Linked DNA regions of Schizosaccharomyces pombe. The gene in region 1 interacts genetically with each later gene. Each region holds a gene or a part of one and is shown in the gene's direction. Other genes may lie near its edges.

Region 1 (4,038 bases):
CTTCCTAGTCCTGTAGAATTTTATGAAAAAAATGCTTCAAAAGAAACGAGTAGTGACAAAATAATCTCCCTGGATAAACGTCCTTTGCTTGCAAAGATTTTCAAGGTTATACATCATGCTTCTAGGGGAATTCTCACATATGTCAGAGTCAATGAAGGGACTTTAAGCCGAGGAATGATGATGTTTAATCCAAGAACTAAAAAGTCAGAAAGAGCAATTCGTTTATACAATGTATTCGCTGACCAGACTCAAGAAGTTGATTGCATTTCCGCTGGAAACATAGGAGTGATTAGTGGGATTAAACAATTTCATACCGGAGATATCATTATTAATAAAGAGAACTCAAAAAATTTTCATGAGTACCTTTCTGGAAATCAAAGTGTTATCAGTATTCCTGAACCTGTTTGCATTGCTTCTATAGAACCTTATTCGCTAAAAGATGAACCCGCACTTTTAGAAGCATTGGCTAACATGAATCGTGAAGATCCTTCATTTAGATATACCCAAGATTTAGAGAATGGACAACTATTGATACAAGGGATGGGCATTATGCATTTACAAGTTTCTTATGAAAGACTGGTGTCTGAATTTGGAGCTCGAGCATCTTTAGGAAAAGTTCAAGTTGGTTATCGTGAAACTTTGATTGATGTAAGCTTTAATTCAGTTACCTTAAGCACAGAAAATAAAGAGAATCTCATTATTAATGTTTACTTAATCCCTATTTCTGATGAAGGAGATGAAACCTTGAAAAAATATTTTTCTGAAGGTGAGATCCAAAAAGTTCGAAGTAAAGGGCAAGAAGATGGAGTTTTGTTTTATGGCTGGAAGCCGGAAAACTCGTGTACTTTACCGGATCATCTCTCTTTCCAACGTATTCAAGAAAACATCTACTTTGGAATAGTTGCAGGTCTATCGCATGGGCCTTTACATGGGTTTCCTCTCACGAATTTGCAGTCATTTTGTACCATTTCTTCTTTTCTATCTAATGACTTTCCGTTGTCACTTTTGACACAAGCATCGATGAAAGCTACCAAAAATGCAGTATTTTCATTATACAAGAGAAGTCCCAAAAGTTTCAGAATATTAGAACCTTATATGGATGTTACAATTACAACTCCTGAAGAATATGTTGGTATTGTTTCTAAAGATCTTGTAGGCAAGCGGGGAGCCACGATCAAAGAAATTACAGAGATTGGAAAGAATGCTGCTTCGAAAGACTCGCAGATAGCGATAGGAATATTAGGTGAAAGATATCTACCAGCTGATGAACCTAGTTCTGTTAAAGCAAACAATGCTTCTTCTCTACTACAGAGTTCATCTGTCATTAAATGTATTCGTGCTCAGGTGCCTTTGGAGCAGATTCTCGACTACAACAGTGTTATAAGCTCTTTAACAAAAGGTAATGCAAAATTTCTTATGTCTCATCCTATGGAATCTCAAACTCCCAAGCTGGTCAATTACGGTTCTTCCTTTCATCCTATGTCTATGCAGAGACAAAAACGAATATTTCCTTAAGGTCAGAAATGTGGGTTAATGGGTAAAATAAATACATAGAAAAAAAGATATAATTCTATTTTTCTATAAAAATCATCCTTATCATTAAAAAGCTGTATGTTTGACATTCTTTTTCTATACGTTTCGGTGTATGCATACACACACGTCTGCAACGGAGTTGTGTACATGTTGTCCCCAACGTCAGATGGAACCTACCGTTAGCATATATCGACTATAATTACTACAAAACGCCTAGACGAATTTAATGATGTCCGCTGAGGAAACTGTAACCCAAAACGCTCCTAATACTGTTCAAGATCAAGTTGAAGCATCTGTAGATGCTGCTGTACATGCATCTGCAGAACAATCTAACACACCTGCTCAACAAGCGGACGACTTTCGTGTTTTTGTAGGGCGTTTAAGTACGTCTACCAAAAAGAGTGAAATCCGTTCATTGTTTGAAACGGTTGGTACTGTGTATGTAAACTATTACTGGTTTTAGCAATTTCGAGTTAGAACAAAATTTTCTTATGTTTAAGCGCTAAAGCTAAAGCTCTCTCTATTAAAATCAGTGCATAATTTGGAGTTGTTGAAAATTTACTTTTTAGAAGTCATACTTTATATTTTTCACAAAAACGATTTTAAAACGGAGCTATGCGAGCTTATATTTACTCGAAACTATCTGTGCTACTTTAATTATATTTGATCATCTACTAATGCTTTTTAGTCGTAAAGTAACTATTCCTTTTCGTCGTGTTCGCCGTGGTACCCGTCTCGTACCTTCTGGCATTGCTTTTGTTACATTCAACAATCAGGAGGATGTTGACAAAGCTATAGAGACATTGAATGGTAAAACATTGGATGATCGCGAGATTGTTGTTCAAAAAGCTCGTCCTGTCCAAGAGCAACCTATAAAAGATAGGAAAAAGGTAAGTATACTTTAGTTCGCAAAGCTTTTATCAATATCATTCTGACACATTAGTCAAAAAATAAAAATGGTGAAGAACCTGAAACTTCAACTTCTGTCGAAAATGCTGAATCTGCTAAGGGCTCCAGTGATGAAAATGAAGCTAATACCGCAACAGCTCCTTCAAGTAATGAAGCAAATGGTGTCGATAAGAAACAAAATGAGATCAAAGGAAAGGGTGGGTCTGGTAAAAACAAGGCTAAGCCTTTGCCTCCCAACTCTATTTATGTTTCAGGCCTCTCCGTTACTTTAACAAATGAAGGCCTTAAAGAAATGTTCGATGCTTACAATCCTACTCGTGCTCGTATTGCTGTTCGTTCCCTTCCTCCTTATATTATTCGCCGTATAAAATTACGTGGTGAGCAACGTCGTGGTCGTGGTTTTGGATTTGTGTCTTTTGCTAATGCTGAGGATCAATCCAGAGCTATTGAGGAAATGAATGGAAAGCAAGTAGGTGACCTTACTTTGGTTGTTAAAAGTGCTGTCTTCCGTGAAGATAAGCAAAATGATGAAAATGAAAAAAATGAAAACGAACCTATTGAGGCTTCAGAATCTGCTCCCACTAACGTGTCTGATTCTACTGAGCCCAAAGCATCTGAGGTTGACTCAGAAGAAAAATCAGGCGTTACTGCTAGTGCTATAACTGCCTAAAAGTTAAAATATGATTTGTGATTATTCCTGGCTCTTCGTTCCTTTTATAATGAGCCTCGCCATTATACTTATATATGTCCCGAATACCCTCATGTTTCCGCACGTCACGTTCTCTCCCTTAGCATGGAACCCATGCATGTTCCTGGTAAAAAGTTGCAGCTTTGTAGACTAGACTATATTCATTGCTTGGAGTTCTGTGCCTTATATATTTTCCGTTTGTATCAAAAATACATTCGGGCCTATTGTTAAAAATAGTTTTGCATCTTTGTACATTTGAAACGTTAAAGTGCTTCAAGTAAAAATATACATTTTCTTCCAAAATTGTGAACGTTGTAATAATTGATTCACGCAAAATATAAGTAACTAGTTAAACGAATGTTATAGGCTTCTTAAGATTTAGAATCTATTGTGCTGCAATGTCTAAAACACAGGTGAGTATTAAATAACTTAAGTGCTTTGAGTCACATAAAAAGAGTCAGAGGATGCATTGTGAAGCATAGTTATTCAAAGAGAGCAGAAGTCTTTAATAACTTTAGCAATATAATAGAAATCTGATTCTTCTAAATACACCGCACCGCTAAGTCTAGTGTAAAATTTTCCTTTAAATTCCATAAATCGAAGGAATGTATTATATTTAGGCCAAAATACTTTCTGTGTTTCTATGGAGGGAATGTTGCGTAAGGGAACTTCGACGTTTACCATTGCAACTGGGTATGGAGGTTTGATAAAGGAAGTGCCCAGTTCTTTAGAAATAATTTCGGCTCCCTTTAAAGCTATTTCATGACAATATTGTTGAATCTTTTCTTCCCCTCCAATGGATTTTCGAAACTTAATAGCCTCACCAACAGCTATAAACTTAGGTAAATCTTGCTTGAAAGAATTGACAAACCGATTGGTAAGAGTATCTACGGCAATTGATTCCTTTT
Region 2 (3,991 bases), 1.0 Mb from region 1:
AAAGGGTCAGCCTTGTACGCCAAATGGGATGCATATCCCATTGTTAGGTATAGTAGTGTCCATGCTGGTCCAAAGGCAGATGCAGGGGGGTGGAACTTTGGTTGCTTTTTGTTCTCATAATCCTTTCTTGGCTTGTAGGAATTCCCAATGAACCAGCCGCAGGCGACTGGAACGAGAGAAGCGGACCACCAATTTTTGGAGATGCTAGTGAATACTTGATAGTTCAAATCCATCACACTTAATAATATCGTTTACTGTTGATTAGCGAAATCGGGAAAAAAAAATTCCACGAATGTAAAGAGTACTAACAACGACTGCTACTAAAAAACCATAAGTATTTCGAATCTTAATGCAGCTCGTTTACAAACAGCAGAGATAATGTCGAGATACAAAAGGTCTTTCAAACCATGCTAAGCAAATAGACATGGAGTAGCTAGAGTTAAGTTTGATAATTAAAACTGACATACATTAAACTAGAAATTTGGAGAAGAGTTGTTGAAACTTCTAATTGAATTGAAGATTAGTAAAATTGGACCATAAAGCTTAACCATCTTTCAATCTTCCATACATTTTAAAAACGGGCACAGTATCGATATGAGAGAAATACGATACTAAACTAAAATAAAAGGAAATACTTAATTGTAGTTTGATCTTGGAAGCTACTCGAATGTATAATTCACCATATTTATAACCTCGTCTATTACGTCACAGAAGGGAAGGAGGAGCGAGGTATTGGGGTATAATACGTGTTCATACTGCGTAAGGTGGTGGTAGATGTGTCTCGCTAAAAAGTGTTTATAAGGAGTTTTCCATAAGATAATATTTTCAGTACAACTAAATTTTTTATATTATTAATATTATATTATAAAATTATGTATATCTATTAGTAGCAGCGCTTGTTTTCTGTAATAGAATATATTTGGGCTGGTCAAATGCGGTTAATTATCATCACACAGATGAGATTTATGGGCAAATTTAGTTATAAAATTAGATAAGACAACAAAGAGAGAAGAAAGGTTTATTTCGGTGCTTTTGTTTCTTACTTTCAGAAGAATCTTTCTCTTGGGCATTATCTGGATGTCTTACTGCCCACAGAACAAACAAACTGTCATTGAATGGCTGAGTTCTTGTTTCAATATCTAATATCGCTATACAATAGCTCTCAAAGTAATGCACCACTACTACAACTTAAGTTCTTCACTTTTTGAGTAAGGATGCAAACTATGAGACCGGGTTTTTTTAGCTCAAATGTCGCTGAAAAGCGTTTTCTTTATAGTTTTATCATGAATGATCTCATATATTGATAAGTAGCAATCGTGTCTTTCCATGTCGAAGCCTCAAAACATTATATCCATATAATGCAAAACCATTTATTCCACCACTTCTAATGAAATTTATAAGTTGGTAAAATGTCCGTATTTCAAATTGCTTCTCCACAATATCTTCCATTTATGAGCAAACGATATTACCTCTATATTGTCAAGTTAAAATGTTTACATTGATATATTATATTAAACTATAACATAACTATATTACCTTATAAGGCGATTTCTGCTGGATGCAGTTAGTGAACAAGAATTATCTGAGGATAGACCTCTAATTGCAGTCAGAGATTTACTACAGATGATTATACAAGAAAAATTTAGATATATTTTTTAAGCGATGTAATTTATTGATAGTGACATGAAAGTAAGCCAACCCTCGAAACCCAAATTTACCACCATTATGCTCTTGCTCTATCAATTAAACACAAAATTAACGACACGCTTTTCATCCTTATCTTTTTATAATTGCATTGTGAAATAAACTATCATTATTCTATTTAACGCAATGATAAACTTCGCAATCAGGCTTTACGTTATGGCTTTGCTTCCGTGAATTGTTCCCTACGCGAATCCTGCTGAATCCACTAAAAGATCCAATGCAGCTTAGCTAGCGAACATTAGCGCAGCGATCAACTGACATAAGATATCTGGGTATGCCGACGCTTCTCTTTTCCATATCACAAAAATGAGTTGGCATGGATTCAAAAAGGCCGTTAACCGAGCGGGTACCTCGGTATGTATTTGAGTGTTGAAGAATTGTCTAACATTGTGGTAGGTTATGATGAAGACGGGTCATGTTGAGCGAACGGTGGATCGGGAATTTGAAACAGAGGAAAGACGTTATAGAACTATGGAATCAGCTGCAAAGAAGCTTCAAAAAGAAGCCAAAGGTTATCTCGATGCTTTGAGAGCCATGACTGCGTCTCAAACTAGAATCGCTAACACAATCGATGCATTTTACGGTGATGCTGGATCGAAGGATGGTGTCAGTGCATACTATCGACAAGTCGTCGAAGACTTGGACGCCGATACCGTAAAAGAGTTGGACGGTCCTTTCCGGACAACGGTGTTGGATCCCATCTCAAGGTTCTGCAGTTACTTTCCCGATATTAATGCCGCTATCACGAAGCGTAATCACAAATTACTTGATCATGATGCTATGAGGGCTAAGGTTCAAAAACTGGTCGACAAGCCTTCCAACGACACTACTAAGCTTCCCCGTACCGAGAAAGAAGCAGCCATGGCGAAGGAGGTCTACGAGACACTCAATAATCAACTGGTCAGTGAGCTTCCGCAACTAATTGCTCTTCGTGTGCCTTATTTGGACCCTAGCTTTGAAGCCCTTGTCAAAATTCAGCTCCGCTTTTGTAGGGAGGGATATGAGAAAATGGCTCAAGTTCAGCAATACTTTGACAACTCTGTACGCGAAGACTATTCCAATGGTTTGTTGGATGATAAAGTTGAACAAGTTTTACAGAGTATGCGGGATCTTTCCATCGCCGGTTTGAACAACAGTCAGTAGACATCGGTTTTTTAAACACGATTGTATGTGTGCATAGCGCTATCACTCTGTTTTCTCTTTCCTTTTCTCCTCCGAAATAATTGTTACTACACGTAACCATGATCTCTTATCCCTCAATACTTTTTGTTTAACATATCCTTTCTCTTTTACTACTTTATTACCATCTTATCTTGTTTATCTGAAGTGGTTCACGGAATGTTTTCAATTTATTCAATTTTTTGTGATACATAAATATTTTCCATACTTATCTATCCTCGAGTATTTTCTATTGGTGTTACTGGAATTGAAGGGAAAGCCAGCACATATTTATTAAAGACTCAACTGTGAAGCTTCTACATCCTTTCAGTTTCGTAACGTTTCCTTTATAATTTTTTAATTGGGAATAGTTATCAAATTATCAGATAAACAAATTGGTTTTCCAATATTGTCTGTCGACCCAGCGATTCATCTACTAAACTGTGCTTATTTTCTATCTCGTACCAAGTTTTGTTCTAATAAATAACTATTGTTAAGTAAGTTTAGACCAAATCTTAAAATATAATAATTAGAAAAAAAAATGCTTTTGTTGACTTACGAATTATTAATTTGAATTGTAATTTATTAATTTTCCAAACAATAGCTATCTTGTAAGCTGTAAGTCAAGTTGGAAGTGGGTTTATTTCTATCTGTGCAGCGTTCGATGTTTGATTTTCGAACATGGACTTAAGCGTTCAATTTTACAATAGCTGTGAATGTAGATTATCGCTACTTTAAAATCTAAAATATAGTATGGAGCTACAACTGCTAGTAACGTCTATACAGGAAATGATATTAACCAAAAATCTTTCTGACTAAGAACATAAATTTAGTAATCTAATTCTGGAACCTCCTGGTTAGGCGCATCCAAATCTTGATAAGTTCTATAGAATTCCCGTCTGTGGATCATGGGTTCTTGCCTCGAATAAGATTTTTGTGATGATGCTCCAGAAGTTATCTCCTCGTCATTTCGTCGACTATAGCTTGTTGTTGGAAATGTATAGTTTGCGTTAATATTTCTGAAACCAACGTAGGGCTTGTTTAAAATCTGTAAGGATACATACGACGTGCTTACCACTTTGGGATCCATAGCCCTACATGGGTCAAGCACATATCCATAGAGACATAT
Region 3 (5,120 bases), 570 kb from region 1:
CAAGTAATGGGAGTAAGATGAAGCGTATATAGGCGAGCGTTTGATGGCATAACAAGAGCAACAAATTGAACTTATTTGTTTTCCTTTGTTAATAACTCTATTTTAACGATGTATAGGATTCGTTCTGACAGCTTCATTTTTATTCCAGCAAAGCGAAGCAAAACGGATCATTCGCTTCGTGCCAAAACAATGTTGTTTTATGGATTAAAAGATGATCTTCTTAAAGCAGCCATGGCTAAGCATTCATAATACGTGATAGATCATGTTATAGACTTCATCTTTGTAGATCATATAAATGCTTAAGTGTTGAGTCAATGACACATAGACTGTACTTGTCTATTTAATTTGTCTAACGTATTACATTCATAAAAAGCGCGTAAACGTGTTGAGTCTTATAGAAGTTGTTATGACTAGCAATTCAAGAACAAGTCTGATTCATAACATTATTTAACATTTCTTTATTCCATTTCATTTTATTCTTTCTCTATGTTAAAATTCTTGACTTTGCAATATAAACAGACAAATATGCACCAAGTAGCTTGTACAAATAGCTCCTAAACGATCTTTGAATGCATGAAGATAATATTCTATATACCAAGGATTTGAATACTTCACGATCTTACTGTATGAATATATAAACAATAAATAGAAAATTTCTAGTGAATCGACAGTACTCTGACTGATTATTAATTTTTTCTTTAAAATGTTTAAATATTCTACTTTAAACGTCTACGGCCATACCTAGGCGAAAACACCAGTTCCCGTCCGATCACTGCAGTTAAGCGTCTGAGGGCCTCGTTAGTACTATGGTTGGAGACAACATGGGAATCCGGGGTGCTGTAGGCTTCCTTTTATTCTTTTTGCTTTTTGTTTGAGCTCATTTGGGAATAATAATCATTTACCTTGATTCGTACTTATTCATTTCAATACCTTTGCACATAATATTATTGTGTACTATGAATGATATTTTGGCAACCAGGAAATCTTCTTACAAGTCGTAATACGACTTAAAGGGAAGATGTATGGTTTATTTTATTGTCATACAGTAACCTTTATTATTGGATTGGAGTTGTAGTTTCGATTTCATCACAATGAATAACGATACTCTAGAGTGTTTTCCAAGATGTAAACGAGAGAAGGAAAGTGTTTTTTGGATGATTATTAAACTTACTATAATTTTTGATTGTTCTCAATATAAAATTTATCTTAGTACATATTTATTTTGTTCTCATGTCAGTTTTGGAGAACATACATTACAATTTCTTGACAAGACAACATTTGGAAAATTGCTCTGTTCATTAAAACATTGAAAACCGTATATGTTTTTTAAATCATTCCTCTTCAATGCATTTGTTGAAGTAATTTTACTGAATCAAAGATATAAATACATGTTTGAAAACAAATACCCGAAACTGCTAAAAAAAAGACTGGGATTGAAAGTTAGACTAGATTCGTTGATCATCTACTTGAAAAATGTGTTTTGTTAGAAATATATAGGAACAGGAAAATCTTAGACTGTATTTCAGGAAAATTTAAACTTAGTAGGTATTAAAATGCTTATAATTCATCGTATTATATTAGGTAACTAGGATGTCAATACGAAAAATAACAATAAAATCAGAGATTCATTATTGACAGGAAATACTTTTTTACGTTTCTTAATCAACGTTTATACTTTTCTCTTTTTTGTTTTGAAAAGCGACTAGTCACAATTGTCAAAATTACATTGTTCACTTTTACTGGCAGCAACTTAAGTAAAGAAGAGATAGAACTCATAGATATAAACATTGTTAAATGAGACCTAGCTGTGTATCTTTTACTACTCTGCGCATATAAACCCAACATTCCCAAGCAATAAGACCATGCACGGCCAAAATCCTTCTATCAACTGTTCATGGCTTAAAACGAATTTCCTTTAACTAAAAAGTGAGATAAATAATTAAAGTATTAAACCTTGCTCCTTTTATTAAAAAAACCTCATATATAAGAAACTCCATACACCTACTGTTTTCCTCCCTATTGTTTTGTTCTTCCACCAAATAAGGGCAACTGCCTTGGCAACTGCACAGACCGAGTAAATCTTCACAATTTCGTTGATATTCGGTTAAAATTTGTAAATATACTAGTGTATTGGATTGTATCTAAGGTTTTCTCGAAACATTTGTTCGTGTTCAAATTCCGCGCTGTTCTAATAGATCACAAGATCTCGAGCTGGTGCGTTTTCGTTTGGATGGAACCCACAGACACGGCTTTGCTTCTAATAGCTTAAGTTTTTTTTTTTTGAAAATAGTTTTCATTTGATAAGAAAAGAATAAGACTTCAAGTCCGGTAAGTCTATGAGTGGTGCCTAAGATCCTTCGTCGTTAAACATTTGAAGTTATTGCCTTCTAAAACGTTTCATCTACTTTTTACAGCAAATTTTGAAACTGTTTTTTGCATCTTAACCAAAAGTATTTTATTTTGGCGATAAATTCAAAGAGTATCTGTTATTTGCTAAATTTGTTGTGTCCATCAAGGCTATCAAATTACTGCTTCATTTTGTAAAAACAATTTTTCTTCTCGTATTTTAAGATTTTCCACTATGGAATCTCAGTCAAAAAAGTCGTCCGCCTTAAAAACTCTCTCCAGCTTATGGAATGGATCCTCTAGCGCCACTTCGGATCCAGTTACTGTTTTGGATCGAAGCCGGACCCATCACCATCGTGGTCGAAGCACTTCTTCCAAAGCTCAACCGTTCAGATTGGACGACTCTGTTTACTCAGATCAACCCCCAAAAGATCATATCTCTTTGGCCCGGTCCATAACTAGACCCGAATCTGCTAGTGAGTCTAAAATCTATGCACCTTCTGCGAGATCTTCTCTTTCCTTGGAAGCTGTTGTAGGCAAAAAAGTGTCTGCAAAGTTTGCCAAATATTTGTCACAGACAGATGACGATTGGGGAGTTTCGAATATTAAAGCCTCAAAATCTCTTCCTCGTATGGCTCGAAGTACTACTCCAAATTCTTCAAGCCGCTCCTTATTTCCTCAAAATGGCGTGGATACTACCACTTCTAGACAAAAGCTTCATTCGTCTGGTCGTTTTCCTTTACCCGCTAAACTAGCCCATCGTTCTGTAGAAGTTGAGGTTGCTGAAAGCAATGCGCTTGTCTCTCGGATCAAGAAGTTTTCGCGAATTCTTGATGCTCCAATTGTGGATTTAAATGCGCTTCGTACATTGGCTTGGAATGGAATTCCCTCCGAACATAGACCTATTGTCTGGAAATACTTGTTAGGATATTTACCTTGTAATGCTTCTCGTCGTGAAGTCACTTTAAAGCGAAAGAGAGACGAATATAACGCAGCAAAAGATTCCTGCTTTAATACAAATACAGAGCCACCACCTTTGGATCAAACTATTTGGCGACAAATTGTCCTTGACGTTCCGAGGACGAACCCCTCTATTCTTCTTTACCAAAACCCATTGACGCAGCGTATGCTTGAGCGTATTTTATATGTTTGGGCCTCACGGCACCCAGCCAGCGGATATGTACAAGGCATCAGCGATTTAGTTACTCCTTTTATTCAGGTGTTTTTGTCCGAATATATCGGCGATAAGGACCCAATGACATATGACATTGCTCTTCTTGATGAAACTAATCGTAATGATATTGAGGCTGATGCTTACTGGTGTCTTTCTAAATTGTTAGATGGTATCCAAGATAACTATATACATGCACAGCCTGGAATCCGTCGACAGGTGAATAATCTGCGAGAGCTTACTTTACGTATAGATGAGCCATTAGTAAAACATCTTCAAATGGAGGGTGTTGATTTCCTTCAGTTTAGTTTTCGCTGGATGAACTGTCTTTTAATGCGCGAGCTTAGTATTTCGAATATCATTCGGATGTGGGATACATACATGGCGGAAGGTGTCCAAGGATTTTCTGAGTTTCACCTCTACGTATGTGCTGCATTTTTAGTGAAATGGTCGAGTGAATTACAAAAGATGGAATTTCAGGATATATTAATTTTTCTGCAGTCTATTCCGACAAAAGATTGGAGCACAAAGGATATCGAAATTTTACTATCTGAAGCTTTCCTATGGAAATCATTGTACAGTGGAGCTGGTGCACATTTGAAAAGGTAAGGCATAGTAGCCATTTCGTTTTCCCTTTTCAGAGCATTCGTCTTCTTCCTTAATCCCTTGCTTATTTTGGCATAGCAGCCTTTTTCAAATGCCATCCTTCCTATGCATTTTTATAATTAGGTTGACAAATCTCCTTCGTTAATTCATTGTGTTGCTTTTCTATGTTTATGAGCTTATGAGTCTAAGTCTTACTTCTTCTAATAAATTTTCCTTTCATTCACCTAAATAACTTTTCAAGTTTGCTCCTTAACTCAGCTGGATTGAGTTTGCGACTTTTAGAATTTATCATGCAGGATAAAGTATTTCTCTTGAAGAAAGTCTGAACTACCTTAATCATTTTTGGGAAGTTATTAACCCTTGAATTAAATTGTATATTCACTATTACTTATATGTAATTTGTCTTTACTCTTACGTTCGACCGTTCTCTAACCCTTTTCCAGTTTGACTTACGTTACTACTTTACTATTCAACGATTGTTTAGTCCATGGCGTGATACTTTACATGAATCGTTATTAATATCATTTTTTTTTCTCTTCTATGCTAGTCATGTTTTCTTTGGTTTTATCCAAGATTGTACATTACGATTTCAAAGTACGACTTTTGTATTGGTAAGAGATGATGAAAATCGACAAGACTGTACTACATGGTCTGTGTCTTCTTCCTTGATTCGACCAAAATGTATGGATGAATTAGAGTAGATAATGAAAACGCTGTGACAATTTTTGAATATTTATACAACTTAATACAGTTTTTGAACTGAAATAAAGAAGCACGTTCCATTGCGTTATAGAATCATTGTATTACTTTTCATGAAGAAGAAATCATTTATTTATAACTATAGGATCAATTTCTTATCTTTTAAATTTCAATACTCATAGCTTTTTCATGCTGATTTTGCAACTGCTTACCACAACAGCATTTGCAGTGACTGTTTTTCAAACTATATTTACTATATAAGGGAGACTTTGCCTATTACCTCTACGTCTGGCTTAGG
Region 4 (4,037 bases), 3.3 Mb from region 1:
TATTCCCATCACTTTGAGAATTGAAGAGAAACCGCTTATTAGCATGCAAATTAGAGCTGAGACTAGAGTTACGGCGTTTAAGGCACTTTTCGCGATGCTCTGACGGCAGCTCACAACTCAAATGGGGCCGGTTAAGATCACAATGTAGATATAAAAGATTTTGCAAGTTTTCCAAATTTTCTTTATCAGATAAACATCGATTGTTAGTAAATATCATCGATTGCTGACTTCCCTTGCTATCAAATTGTAGACTAACACGACTAAGCTCCTCGGGAATTCTGGTCATTATATTATTTCCTTCCAGGAGATCTTTTTTAGTGGAACATGGAGAAAATCTCTCGACATTTGGCCGGGGAGAAGAGGAAACATCAATACTCGGTGATACCATAGTTGTCTCACCGAAAAATTCATTGGAATCTAAAACAGATAGGCTATCTTTTTTCTTCTCATTCATTTCAAGTAGTTTACAGACACTTAGTAGAAAAGTATTTGTCAAGTTCTTTTATGATGTTAGAGAACCTGGTTCAAGAATCGATACTGATGAATTTACTTAAAACAACTGCCCGTTGGGAAACATGTATATGAAATTATTTTGCAAATAGTTATCGTCTTAATGCATTAGAGCAATACTTTTTCTTGGTTTTTTTGAAGTTCAGCGAGATAGATCGTAAAGACCATAAACTCTTGGCAATGAATTTTAAATTCACTCTACGCAAGCGGAGGTGTAAGTAACACCAGAATAAGTAACAATTTTACTGTTGATTAAGAAAAGTTTTTATAGTTTATGGTAAATACGACTAAATCGCGACATAACAATAGTTCAATAAGAAAAGTTATATGACTTAGTTATGGCTCCTCAATATTATTTTTTTTTACATTATTTGCGATAGTGTTTTAATTGTATACCAGATATTAACCTCCTCAGCATTTTCAAATAAATTCTCTAAAGACAAAAACAATGAACACGTGAAGTATTCATATTATAAAATTGTCTTTTCCGTTGCGTTTTTGCAGCTAAAGAATGCAGACACAATAGTAGCTCGCGAATTTCATTACACGCCAATAAAGTTGGGAAAGAGATTACCCTCCCCTGTCATATTCTAAATGACACGGACACATATAATAATTTATTAATAAAATTTGAGCATGAGCGTAAAATGTAAAATGTCAGACTAAGATGGCGTTTCTAGTACATCATTTTCTTAGGCCGTTGAAAGAAATTTTTTGTCTCGTCAATGACATGCATCGGGTAATTTCGGCAGGCATTGGGCTATTATTCGACTTCTCTCCATTCAAAATTTGACTTAATCTCAGTATCCAAAGAAGCGTCAAATACGCTACCAAGATAAATAATTAAATTGTTATCCGTAAAAGTTCTTAGCATAGCAAACCGATAAACCGAGTGTAAACACGATATTAATTAATTAATATTATATCATATTTAATGAGCTGCAGAACATCATTTGCCGAAATGCACCGAGCCTCTTATATCTAGGATGATTTGTATGTACCAGATTACTTTCCCAAGAGATTATTAAATATATTTAATAGTATTAGGAGAAAATCAATATAACGTTGAGTCGAGCCAACGTATTTGTAAGTTAGGTATACAGGGATGTCATTAGGCTTACGTACACCGCGCAATTCAATTGCAAAAGGCCCAGGGGACCAAGAACTTCCTTATGATAAGAAAGCTAAAGCGATAAACAAAAATTAAATTACTTGGCTTGGAAATAATAATAATTTGCTTTGAAATGAATGATTGAACGCCCCGCGACCCCGGGACAGTATAAATTTTCCTGGGGTAGATCAAATTCACGCATTTAATTGGTTGAATTTATCAACTGACTTTTAAGTTCATTTTTAATTAAGTTATCAGCCAATGAATACAAAGCCGATAGCAAGGCAAGCAATGATTGGAGCGCAATAGTTGACTGTTTTGGCGCTAATTATTTCGGGTTTATGGTTAGAAATTTTCTGAAAAAATCAACGTTGAAAACTTACAGGCTTTCATGGTTAATTAGTGGCAAAACGCCACGGCTCTTAATCAAAAGATGGTGAAGTGCTTGAAAAAAGAAATGTATATAAAGCTGAGCTGATTTTTAGGGAAAAGCCGTGAGCTGAAATTAAACAATCAGAACCGCAAAAGGTAAAGACCATTATATTCTTTACCATCTTTCTTTTATTTTCTAGTATCAAGTTACTAGCATATCCTATCGTTTATAAAGTCAATCGTTAGATTCCTGTCAAATCTTTTAAATCTAAAAATGCTCTTTAACAACTTTCTTTGTTTTGCGGTTTCCGCCATTCCTTTGGTTTCAGCTATGCCTCTTGGTAATGCTCCCTATCACCATCACCATCATGCCGGTTTGAATGCTAGCAATATAACTGTTGGTGTCAATGTCACAAACACTACCGCTTTTTCAAAAAGAGACGGTGGTTTTCCTGACGGCGTATACGACTGCTCCTCTTTTCCTGATGATCAAAATGGCGTTGTCCGCCTTGATTACTTAGGTTTTGGAGGATGGTCTGGTGTTCAGAAGAATGATGGTAAATACGGAACAGCTTCTACATGCCAAGATAACACATACTGTTCCTATGCATGCAAGCCCGGAATGTCTAAGACCCAATGGCCGTCTGAGCAGCCTGACAATGGCGTTTCCGTTGGTGGTTTGTATTGCAAGAACGGTAAATTATATCTCACCCAGAAGGATAATTCTAATCTTTGTGAAGATGGAAAGGGTACTGCCTATGTTAAAAATACATTGAGTTCCAATGTCGCAATTTGCCGTACCGATTACCCCGGAACTGAGAACATGAATATCCCTACCAATATTGATGGTGGTTCAAAACAACCTCTTTCTGATGTTGATGAAGATTCATACTATAATTGGGGAGGAAAGAAGACATCCGCTCAATACTATGTTAATAAATCTGGCAGAAGTGCAGAAGATGTCTGTGTTTGGGGTAATGAGGGCGATGATTATGGCAATTGGGCTCCTATGAACTTCGGGTCTGGTTACACTGACGGCAAGACTTGGCTTTCTATGTCTTTCAATCCTTTATCATCTGCTAAACTTGATTACAATATCCGTATTAAATCTGATGGTGGGTCCCTTAGTGGTGATTGCTACTATGAAGACGGATCATTCCATGGTTCCACCGCTGACAGCAGTGGTTGTACAGTCTCTGTCACCGGAGGCAATGCCTACTTTGAGTTGTACTAAATTGCGTGTTAAAAGTGGATGCTTGGTCAAAAAAATTTGTTTATTAGAATTATTTTTGCATTCGTTTTACTTTTGTCATTCCCATTTTTATGCTTTATTTCGTTGTTGATTAGTTTTCGCATTTTTTTTCTGGTTTCATTTTTTTTATTTTTTTCATTTTTTTCATTTTTCTTCTGGATTCATTTTTTATTTTATTTTTGGGGTTCATCTTCTTCATTTCATTTTTTTGTCTATATTTCTTCTCTACATTTTGTTACATTTCTTAAAAACGCTCATTATTTATGCATTGCATCTACGAAAAAATAAATTTGTTTTTACTTAATTTTGTCCATCCTATCCAGTATCGTTAAAAATTTAAAAATTCCATGTATTGTTTTATTATAATGGTGCTGATAGTAGTAAAAAGCTGCAGAGTAACTAAATCTCACAGAATGCCTGGTAAACGACAACAGGTTCTGAAGTCGCAGAGATCGTTAATGGAAAATTTGCGGAAATAAAATAAACAAATCCAGGAGATATCGATGCTACATCTCCTTTGTCTCCATTCAATATGCCTGAACCCTCAGTAACAAGTAAAATGCTAGGGCCATTGATTCCGCGTATGCATTGTTTTTGACCAGGAGAAACCTTGGTTTGCAAAATGCTAAACTCTTCGATCGGGGGATCATATAACAGAGTTTTGCCAGATCCACAAGCTTTGGCAAATGGTACAGGTTGGGTAAGTTGGGATTTGGCATCCGCAGTCTGATAAGTGAGATTATTTACGAGAGTTTCTATGTCCTTAAACTTTGGCGTAAAGCCAAGACGGAT

The links.
Region 2: mutations in tcg1 (region 1) and hob3 together harm fitness more than expected from each alone (negative genetic interaction), as found in Schizosaccharomyces pombe (one large-scale study listed by BioGRID).
Region 3: mutations in tcg1 (region 1) and gyp1 together harm fitness more than expected from each alone (negative genetic interaction), as found in Schizosaccharomyces pombe (one large-scale study listed by BioGRID).
Region 4: mutations in tcg1 (region 1) and psu2 together harm fitness more than expected from each alone (negative genetic interaction), as found in Schizosaccharomyces pombe (one large-scale study listed by BioGRID).

Annotation. Positions count from the first base shown.
Region 1 is NC_003423.3:213,385-217,422, forward strand, and holds tcg1 (single-stranded telomeric-binding protein Tgc1), read left to right. Parts: upstream 1-1,714; 5' UTR 1,715-1,759; coding exon 1,760-1,971; intron 1,972-2,137; exon of another isoform or gene 2,138-2,221; coding exon 2,222-2,423; exon of another isoform or gene 2,424-2,476; coding exon 2,477-3,112; 3' UTR 3,113-3,517; downstream 3,518-4,038. Other genes in the region: mef2 (mitochondrial translation elongation factor G), read left to right, coding at 1-1,515; ergothioneine biosynthesis methyltransferase Egt2, read right to left, coding at 3,617-4,038. UniProt on the Schizosaccharomyces pombe protein: Binds single-stranded telomeric sequences of the type (TG[1-3])n in vitro. Has a role in meiosis.
Region 2 is NC_003423.3:1,221,216-1,225,206, reverse strand, and holds hob3 (BAR adaptor protein Hob3), read left to right. Parts: upstream 1-2,001; 5' UTR 2,002-2,010; coding exon 2,011-2,058; exon of another isoform or gene 2,059-2,100; coding exon 2,101-2,847; 3' UTR 2,848-3,463; downstream 3,464-3,991. Other genes in the region: tsp0 (tspO-like protein), read right to left, coding at 1-233; pir2 (C2H2-type zinc finger domain-containing protein), read right to left, coding at 3,692-3,991. UniProt on the Schizosaccharomyces pombe protein: Involved in cytokinesis and septation where it has a role in the localization of F-actin.
Region 3 is NC_003423.3:782,532-787,651, forward strand, and holds gyp1 (GTPase-activating protein Gyp1), read left to right. Parts: upstream 1-2,034; 5' UTR 2,035-2,581; coding exon 2,582-4,126; 3' UTR 4,127-4,614; downstream 4,615-5,120. UniProt on the Schizosaccharomyces pombe protein: Stimulates specifically the GTPase activity of ypt1. Functions on the Golgi as a negative regulator of ypt1.
Region 4 is NC_003423.3:3,465,760-3,469,796, reverse strand, and holds psu2 (beta-glucosidase Psu2), read left to right. Parts: upstream 1-1,979; 5' UTR 1,980-2,267; coding exon 2,268-3,227; 3' UTR 3,228-3,527; downstream 3,528-4,037. Other genes in the region: cullin 1 adaptor protein Pop1, read right to left, coding at 1-454; mpi1 (mannose-6-phosphate isomerase), read right to left, coding at 3,645-4,037.